Linked DNA regions of Daphnia pulex. The protein of the gene in region 2 interacts with the protein of the main gene of each other region in a pairwise test. Links are inferred from orthologs where the notes say so. Each region holds a gene or a part of one and is shown on either strand. Other genes may lie near its edges.

The links.
Region 1: the proteins of E3 ubiquitin-protein ligase Arkadia-like (region 2) and ubiquitin-conjugating enzyme E2 W-like interact in a two-hybrid assay, tested with the Homo sapiens proteins (2 studies listed by BioGRID and IntAct). The link is inferred for Daphnia pulex from reciprocal best matches to the Homo sapiens genes RNF111 and UBE2W.

Annotation. Positions count from the first base shown.
Region 1 is NC_060027.1:2,994,843-2,999,852, forward strand, and holds ubiquitin-conjugating enzyme E2 W-like, read right to left. Parts: upstream 3,177-5,010; 5' UTR 2,640-3,176; coding exon 2,592-2,639; intron 2,525-2,591; coding exon 2,433-2,524; intron 2,356-2,432; coding exon 2,253-2,355; intron 2,180-2,252; coding exon 2,128-2,179; intron 2,049-2,127; coding exon 1,945-2,048; intron 1,877-1,944; coding exon 1,801-1,876; intron 1,723-1,800; coding exon 1,709-1,722; 3' UTR 996-1,708; downstream 1-995. UniProt on the Homo sapiens protein: Accepts ubiquitin from the E1 complex and catalyzes its covalent attachment to other proteins.
Region 2 is NC_060024.1:8,994,652-8,999,916, reverse strand, and holds the start of E3 ubiquitin-protein ligase Arkadia-like, read left to right. Parts: upstream 1-2,183; 5' UTR 2,184-2,344; intron 2,345-2,407; 5' UTR 2,408-2,496; coding exon 2,497-5,265. Other genes in the region: SAFB-like transcription modulator, read left to right, coding at 1-256, 505-680, 757-1,166; UDP-N-acetylglucosamine transferase subunit ALG13 homolog, read right to left, coding at 1,247-1,666, 1,732-1,839. UniProt on the Homo sapiens protein: E3 ubiquitin-protein ligase. Required for mesoderm patterning during embryonic development. Acts as an enhancer of the transcriptional responses of the SMAD2/SMAD3 effectors, which are activated downstream of BMP.

The sequences.
Region 1 (5,010 bases), on a different chromosome or scaffold from region 2:
CTGCCGGGAGGAAAGTTTTATAATATCATGTTGGATAATATCGACAGTTTGGTATTTCGTGTATCATACAAGTTCTCTCTACTCCCCCCCCCCCCCCCAACAACAACAACAACTGTAATAGTGATGTGTGAGGTTTATCTATCTCTTGTCTTAAAAAAGAAGAAGCTCTCTAGTTGATTGGATGTGACTTTTATATATATTTCTCTTTCTTCTTCTCCATCTTTGTTTGATATATTTCCTAGGAATTTTCCTTCCTCCACACACACATGAAAAATATATATAAATATATTATTATAGATTGTCTGTTTTTAAATAAAAGAAAAACGTGTGTGTGTGTGTGGTTGGAGAGAGAAAATTCGTGTCAATTATTTATACCGGAGCTCGCACAGAGCTGTTATGTATACCAATCCCCCCCCTGCCCTCCTTATTCTTCTCTCTCTCTCTTTGTAATTCTATTTCAATTTCAAAATTGTTTCTTCGTTTCTCCTTAATGAATTTTAAAAAATGCAGTTCGGATTTTTGTAATTATTATTTTTTAAAAAAGGATAAAATAGCTCGGCGGATTTGTTTCTTCTCAGTGTGTACACGTCCGACGGAATACCGTGCAGCGCTCAATCATTTTAGATTTCCTCCTTTCTGATTTTATTAATTGATTTAAAAAAAAAGAAAAAACGAAAAAAAAAAGTTAAATTGTTTTTTTTTTTTTAAACCTTTCCCTTTTTATTACCCAGGAGAATTTGTTTGTCAAAAAACCTTTCTTCCTCTCCTTTTCTTCAGCTCATATCCGCTATATATACACTCCTCATATGACTGGCTATTTTAACATTAACATGAGTCATGGTGTGTGTGTGTATAATACGATCATTAATTGACGAATGACATTTTTTTTCAAGTCGCCCACCTTAATTAATCTCTACGTTTACCCAAAAGTATGTTTTGTCACGCCCTTCATTGCTGTTGTTATAGCGGAGTCTTAAAAAAAAGCTGTCGGAAACGAACTTTAATCTCTTCTTCTATTTCTTTCGAAACAAAAACATCACACAAGACACACACACACACACATCAAAAAATGTTCTCGAAAAGGATAATAAAACAGAAAAAGTCGATTACAAAATTTGCGCCCTACTACCCTCTGATTTTGAAACCATTTCAGAAATATACAATTCATTATTTACTTGGCTAATTCAAATCGTTTAGTTTTTTTGTCTTCCAAACGTGAAATGAAAAAGAATTTGAGTATAATAGTTGAAACAAATTTTATACGAGCGAAATATTTTTCGTTTAACATTTAAAGAATGGGTGGGGGTAAGATAAAACACAGTAGAAGGGGGGAAAAAGGCTTCGTAGATTTGATGTCGATTAAAAGTCGAAAAATCAAACGCCAAAAGTGTGAAACATTACACATCTGTAGTTTTTCGTGAATATTGCTACAAGTCAAAAATTGGAGAGTATCAACCGCATATTAATCAAGACAGAGAGGAACTGTTTCGTTATGCGAGGAAGTAGTAGGTCAATATCGGGAATGGGAAATCAACGCGATCGATTCGGAAGGGTGGAAAATTTTGACAACTGAAAAAAGAAAATCCATTTTTGTTTTCTTTCGTATTTTTTTGGCGACTAGATTGTCTCTGACGCGAGCATCGCCAGCGTGAAACAGGTTCTTTTTCTTTTCGTAGCGGGAATCGAGGGGGAGAGATATCAACCCGTTTTACACTTCTTCGTCTGGCAAATTGGGAAATGATTTATGGTTAAAAAAGATTAATAATAACTCGGGTTTAGGCGGTAGCCATTCAAACTCACCGTGGTACCACCATTTGGTTTTCTTTGGGTTCTTGCTGCACGTTTTCACGTACATACTGTCATCCGGTGGTCTCTTCTAACGGGTCAATAGTCGTGAATGAGTGATGGGTGAGAAAGATACTTTTTCACACAATTGAAACTGACCTTTTCTTTACAAGAGCTGAGCATTGAGATAATGGAAACACAGACCGAAAAAATGGACAGAGCCGGTGACCAGTCATCGGTCAATATACTGAGGCAGATGTGGCCTGAATAACCGAAAAGGTTGGAGAAAAGAGCCGCGGTTAAATTATTGACCATCTTTTAAGGGTTTCACGCTAGACAGACCGTTGCTGTAGACGTGCGGATGGACAGGGATCTCCGATCCGACGAAAACAACCTAAAGAGAGTGGTCTCAAATGAGTAAAACATACGTGTTGGTTTTGGTCAATTCGTTGACTGAAAGGTGTTACCTCGGGCGAATCGAAAGGGTACTTTGGTCCGAAACGAAACTGTAACTGAAACTGCTCCCCTTCGTAAATCGTTCCTTGAGCTCCATTAATACTCAACACCAACCTGGAAGTGAGATTTGAAAAAAATAAAGTGAAAAAAGTGTGATGCACTTGTCCAACAAAATGTCAAGTCAATCTTACAAGTCCAGGCTCTGGCCCACAGATTCTCCATCGATCACAACACCAGGAGGAGGTTCCTTGATCAAGGAGACAAGCTCCTTTTGCAGCCTTTTCTGTAATATTAAAAAAAAATTGAGTTTTATTTAGATACTGATCTATTCGGCAACAATCAGGGTTAACCTCTTGTCTCTGAAGAACACACGATTGAGTCAGGGATTTGTCACTCATATTCGCAGTGGGCACCAATAATGTGAGACACAACCACCAGCAAGTAATGCGAAAACTATACTCACCGATCCAAGAACTAACTTGCCACTTATGTAGCTTTCTCCTTTTATAGAAAGGAAATGTCACCAGTTTGACAGTACGCTGCAGGGTTTCACTTCACGTGAACCGTGCAAAGCCACACCAGACATGTGCCAAACTGACATGTGCCAATAAGTCAGAACTCTCTTCTAGGGTTTCATTTTCTCAGGTGACTCAATTGGGAAGAATAAGGAAGCAGTTGGTTGAATCTGTGCCATAACCGATTAGCAAGCTTCAAGAACACACACCATCTCCAGAGCAGTATAGCTATTTTTACCGCTAAAAAGACTTCCGAAACCTCAAACCGAGTCAAGAATATTACTTAAAAGAAAAGTTTTACTAGCAAAATGTCAAGGACAAGTCCAAATAATGATGAGATTGAAGGACAAGCTGACATGGCAACCGAAGGTTCCTCGAGTTTCATTTTCTACCAACTACGACTAGATAATTGCAGGCGGCTCTTTAACGTTTCGCCATTCTGAATACGTTCACACTTATTAAACTGAAGCATTTTTTTATTTAATATTTACCTGAGCAGGAGAACATGTGAAACGCGAGTGATGTGATGACATGTTTTGTTTTCTTCCTCCAAAAACGTCTGGGTATTTCGCAGACGCAGTTGTGCGGAACGCTGTGAATTGCGGAAAGCAGATGCGGAAGTTGCGAGTTCAACGACCGTGGAAACTGCCTGTAATAAACATTTATCGTCGTTTATTTCTTTTTACGTCGCAAATAAGATTGCCCTTCATCTCTGATTCAGCGAGTTTCTTTCTTTTCCAGTTCACACGCAGACAAAAAACAAACGTCAATAAGTTGGGGGATTCCAACGTTCACTGAACTTTTGTGGTTCGTGAGCGGAAACAATAACTACGCAAACGGGCCAAGTTGCGTCTTCCTTAACCTCCTTTGTCGTGCAATGTCACTGCTAACTGTCTAATTTGTGTCCCGCGTCAGCTAATTGGGACTGGGTACTGTACATCTCCTATATAACCTTAAGGCAGAAAGTTATCGATTGATGACATATGGTATTATAACAAAACTGAGACGTTGATGTTTTTTTAAAAAGGTGGGAGCCCTTATCTTTTACAAGTGACAACAAAAGCGTAACGGTAGTATTGTTTTCAGTTGGAGATATTTATGGCAGTTGCGAATCCTTTAAGGACTAACAAGATATAGTGACAACAGCAGTGTCATATTGACGTAACACATTATGCAATAGGTGTGAGTGACGCAAGTCGAGCGAATCGACGTTGTTTGATCGATTCTTCATTGTCTCGGCGACAGTAGTGGGAAACAACGAAGTATCAACATTTTTTTTTATTTATTTCGCAAATTAATTAAATAATTTTCTCCAGGCGAGGCTCGAACTCGCGACCTCGGCATTACTTTCAATCTTTATTTTGATGTTAGTTTTGCATATATTACTGTCTATAAGTACCATGCGCTAACCAACTGCGCCACTGGAGATGTTTTGAGAGGACCCAAAACTTAATTCAATTAATATTTTTCTGCAAACATTTGCCATTTTTGTTTAGTCAGATTGCATAATGCATTCTGATACACTGCGGATGTCTTATAACACGGTTTCTATTATGGCGCAAATAAAAAGTTTCCAACACAATTAAAAATGTACATTCTCTTGATTATCTCCGAGCACGACAGATGACATGGCTCAATCGTGTAGGGCATGAGCTTTCAGTTAAATAGCTCATATGTGCCGAGATCGAATCCGATAGAATTGCAAATGATGAAAAATTACTTCCAACTCACGACGGTCTTCTGAAAATACCGTGACGATAAGAGTATTCAATTTCTGAGGCAATTAAGGTTCAATTCAACATAAAAATAATTATTTAATTCGACTGTACATTCATTTAAAAAATCTCAGGATCGATATTACGCTAAGAATTAATTTGAAGTTATAGTCATTTTGAAAAAGGTTTGATTAGTCAAACTACAAACACTATTATCGATATCTAGCGATGGAGTTAGGTATAACAAACACTGCTCCAATCAATAAACCGCAATACACACATTTTGGATAACGAATATCAACATTTTTTAAAATTATTTCGCAAATTAACTAAATGAATTTCTCCAGGCGAGGCTTGAACTCGCGACCTCGGCATTACTTTTTATCTTTAATTTATTGTTAGTTTTGCATTTATTACTGTCGTATAAGTACCATGCGCTAACCAACTGCGCCACTGGAGATATTTTGCGGGTACCCAAATCTTAATTCAATTAATATTTTTCTGCAAACACTTGTTTATTTTTGTTTAGCCAGATTGCA
Region 2 (5,265 bases):
CCCTGAATGCTGATTATCGCGGTTCAAAGGTATCTGAACCGGTTCGCGGCGGTTACGACAACCACGCCCGCCGCTTCGAACGTCCACCCCCGTCATCTGTTTCTGCAACTGCCGGAGCGGCTGTCATTACACGACGCGTAGTCCAAGAAATATCAAGTGTTCGCAGAGACACTCGACTCCCACCGCCGTCACCACCTCCCCTTCCTCGTGATCGCTTGGATGACAGACGGGTCGTTGACAGGGGACGTGATGAGAGGTATGTAACTACTAAATGTGTGAATCTTCTTATATTTAATTTAAAAATGCAGCTGCACTCAGTGCTGCTTTACTTATGTGGAGGCAGTGCCATTTATCAGCTCGCTAAATTGAAAACGATTTTATTCCTAGCCTGTAACAAATTTTAACAGGAAAGTCATTCAAATCGTGACAATCCTTGTTAATCATTATCCAAAATTTTTCTTTCTGGATTAATGTACTTAACCTAATTACTTTTTAAAATTATAGATACGATCGCGGGAGCCGAAGCCGAGAAGGTTTTTCAGATCGTGACAGGGAGCGGGAAAGAGAGCGTCCGCGTGATCGAGGAGTAGGCAGGGGAAGTGCAACTGAACCGATACGGAACAACCGCATGCCGGAGAGAGATCATCGTGATCGATATGCCAACGACTCACGTGGGAAAGGTAAAAGCCGGATGGAAAGTGCGGTTGCGATCATATATTAATTACTATTTTGTGGTTTTCTCTTTTGTTCGAATAGATCACCGTTACAATGAGAGAGTGTCTGAGCCCTGGCAGCGAGGCCCTTCCAGTGCGAATGCCCCCGTATCAAGCGGAGGAGTTGGAAGTTCAAAAACTAATTACGGTTCCAATGGAAGCGGTAATACCATGCTGGGCAATGGAGTTGGATTGTCTTCTAACACCAGCTGGTCTGGCAACGGAAGTACGCAACAAGATCGCTGGAGCGCATCGTCATCCTCGTTAATGCCTGTCGGAAGGTCAATGGCGTCGTCTGGATCATTTAATAACAACTGGACTGGATCAGCTCCCCCTCTTAGTGGATCCGCGCAATATAATCCAGCGACAGGAAACATAGGGAGTCTTAACAACCCTGTTATCGGGCAGTCTGGATCCGTTGGCTATTCGGCAGATCGTTATTCGCGACACTAACTTTATCGCATCATATCCAACCGTTTTTTTTTTTCAACTTAGACGTTTACAATGTATGAAATCAATACACAAATTGAACTTTATTTTTGAAATCCCATCAATTTTTCAAGGTAGGCTGAGAATGCAACTGGATTATTTCTAGGAAATTTCTGGAGTTTAGTAGTTCTAAAATCAACAATGGTAGTTTTTAAGGTTTCTGGATAGCACATATAAACATGTCCTTCAGAATGTAACTTCTCAGCAAGTTCTAGCTGGTGATTGCCCATCAGCTTCTGGTTAACCACAACAATTAATGGCTTTGCTACACTGAGGGCCTCAAGACAACTGCCAGCACCAGCATGTGAAATGATTAGGGAGGCTTTTTCCATATCAGAAGAAATGTTTTCTTTAAAATGATAACAAGATATTTGTATTCTTCGTGAAATAGGAATTGGAGGTTCAACACCAAGTCCAATTTGCAGAACAAGATGTGTGTACCCATCATCTTCCAAAATCTGATGCTCAAATTTTATACATTATTATTTACTAGGAAAAATGTGTAATGCAACGTAAATATCGAACATACCTCTAACGTGTTTGGATGCAAAACTTGAGTTATTAATTCGTCAAACTGGGTAGTCCCTACAGTAACAAAAACGATTTTACTTCCCGATTCTTTATGTGTCACACTCATTTCGAACGACAGCAATACTAGTATTTCAGTTCACTTATGGACATTCCCCACAAAAAATTCTCAACTTGTTTACGAAATTGTGATATTTATTATTCAAAAAAACGAATAACTAATCTGTCAGAATGTCAGTCAGCCAGTCAGGCAAAAGGAAAAGAGACGATGACAGTTTTGTTCATATTTTTTTAAATATTATTGAATGAACTCTAAAATTACGTAAACTTTATTAATTTAGAAATTCTTAACTCATAAATGTAATTATTTTTAAGTTATTTAATGAATCATTTCATCATTCAAACTTACAACCAAAAATAAGTAAAAAAATCGATGTTGACCGAAATATTGGCACTTGGCAGCACCGTTGGCACTTGTTTACAGCAAAGACAATTGTCTCATCAGCTGTCCTTAACTGGAAAGAAAGGGTTTTGTACTTGATTGGCGTGACTCTTTGCCCTTTACCGAGTTTTCATACAGGATTACTGTTAAGTTTGTTTTTCAGTCTTTAATGGTAAGTCAAACTAATCTTAATTTTAATGACAAATGGTTTCATTATATAAACATATTTCATCAGGTGGTGTAGGGAGGAAAACGTCATCGTCTTTTCTTCCCTTGGGAGCATCTTGCCTCGAGCCGTCTCTATCGAGTGAGTTGTTATCAATAATGGGTGACGAACAAGCTGGCCCGTCTAGAAAAAATACAATGGACACTGAAAGATCCAATAGCTCGGGAACAAATAGTAGCAAGTCAGCAACAGAAAATGTTCCGAAACAAACATCACTTTCAGCAGAAGAAACAAACAATCACTTGGCATTTGGAAATGGAAGGACTAATCCGCCCAGAACACCTAGTAGGAATTGCCCTTCTATTGATGGTGAATGTCCATCAGGCCATTTTGATGAAGAGGATTTGGACATGCCAGAATTAGAAACTCCCAGCCCTGTCTTGATGCCGTCACAGCTGCTCTCACCCCCAGTTGCACTCCACTATGATGAAACTTTGCCATTGACTCTTCAAATGCCAACAAGTATTAATGTCAGTGTTAACTTGCAACCTTCAGTGTACAGTCTGTCTGGACCACCAGATCCTGTATTCCTTGACGACAGTATGGAGAGTGGGGAGAGAGAGATCACTATCACTCGAAATCCTTATTTCGATCCCTCTCTCTCACCTGGCCCAGTCGACGAGTTTCTTTCTCTTGCCTCCTTCAGTAGCCACGTCGATGGCTTTCACTTTGGACTGGAGGAGGCACCAGCACCTCCCCATTGGGCCAACAGTAACCGCGTAGAATCTTTTCCTCCAGCTGCTGCTTCTGCTGTAGCAGCATCATCTTCATCATCTGATGTCCGCCGAAAAAGACCGAATACAACTCAACAGGATTCAAATTGCAACGCATCGAAGTCCAAAAAACAAGCCGAGACTTCTGGTGGAGAACCTGTACCCGGTCCATCGGGTATCGGAGTTGCAAGAACGGTAACTGGCGATGATGGCCCAGTTGCTGATGATCTACAATTAGAATGTCTGACTGACGGTTCCTCCTCTGCTACCGAATCAGACATTGACGATGACGATAGTTGCATCGAAGTAGTAAGCGTCCGACCTGGTCTATTGCGTTCTCAGCATCAACCCGAAGTCGTAGATCTTACCATTTCAGAAGACGAAACGTCGACTCCCAATCCTTCTACATCGTCGGGCTATTCTCGTTCTACTGGGAGACAGCCCAAACCATCGTCGTCTGTAAAGTCAAGAGCTATACCTAAAGCAGAGCCTCCAATGGCACCAATACCGGTTGTGATTGAAGAGAACAATCAGCCAGACGCTGAAGTAAGACGAGCATCGCCGGCCTTTGTGTCCGTTACTCCATCGTCCTCTGCAGGAAACCGCCCAGGTGCTTGGTGCGGATGTCCAGGGCAGTTTTACGTGGACGGAGGACGGCCCACGCCCATGGGTGTAGCTTGGCCAAACAATGGTAATCCAATACGAGCACATTACATTCCTAATCAGTCTCTTCGACCATCTCCGCTAGCTCATCATGCCACTGCCTTTTCGTATACACCACCACCGCCAGCTTATCACCATCCTCCACCACCGCCAGTTCTGACTCTACGTTTGCCGTCAACCGTTCAAACCCACGGTGGAGCTCGTTCGCCCGTCTGGTGGAGTTATCCAAGTATGGCCGTTGAAACAGTAGCCACTCCGTCACCTCAACACGTAGCAGGAGATGGATCTTCTAATCAGGCTGCGGCCATTCCACTGCAACCCAGTCAGCTGGTTGAAGCCACTTCTGTCGCTCAACCTGCACCCGTTTTCGTTCCTCAAACAACTGGTATTTACCATGCGGCCCCCACTTCACGACCCGTGGACGGACGTTGTACGATGCCGCCTGCCATTGCTCGAAGCTTCATGCGTATCCATCCCATTCACCAGAGGATTTGGCATTCACAGCACCGCTCGCAAGAAGCTCTTCGACGTCATATGGACATGGCACAACGTGTCGCAGCTGGAGAAACCGTCGAAGTTAGCGGTCCGTCATCGATTCCGGATTCTCCGATGATGAGTCAAGGCATTCAAAATCAACAACAACCCACTGGTTTCTCTGGTCCGCCTCCTCCATATCATCCAGTTGCACTGGAGCGCAACAGCAGTCCTTCGCCACAATTCAGAACTGTTCACGCTCCCGATTTGAGTAGCCACATGATGCCGGCCGTTCAAGCTGAAATTGTCGTTGAAAGTTCTCCTGTCAATTTAGATCCTCGCCATCACCATTTGCCTCCTCCTCCTGCCTATGCTTTTGCTCCGTCTTACCACCACCACATTGCCCATTTCAGTCTGCCTGGCAATTTGCATATCAGTATAGGTCCAGGACCAGCCATCCCGCCCGCAGTACCACCACCACCACCTCGAACCGTACCAATGGAACGCGTTCCACCACCTGCCATGCCCGGTGTTCAAGGTGCCGCAGCAGTCGAAATCCAACCAGCCCATCAGCAGGAGCAACCTTACCACCGTGGCTACCCGTTGTACATTCACCACCAGCAGCACGGTCACCACCACCATCCTCCACCACCATTGATCCCACTGGGCAACAGTCCATTCTTGAGCGGATCACCACATCACTACCCATTTTTACGTCCTTCAACGCGTTTGGAAGAGTACATGCGCTTGGTGGAACAGCGTCGAATGGCCCAGCTCTCGCGTGGTGCCTCCCAGACGTGCATCGAACGCAATACTCTGTCGCATTCGTACAAGCGTCTCTTGCGTAGCAACAGCAGCGTTGATGGCGACAGTAATGAAGACAACACCGAAAAGTGTACCATTTGCCTGTGTGAATTTGAGGAAGGTGAAGATGTCCGTCGTCTACCTTGCATGCATTTGTTTCATGTCTCTTGCGTTGACCAATGGCTTACCACTGTTAAATTCTGTCCACTTTGT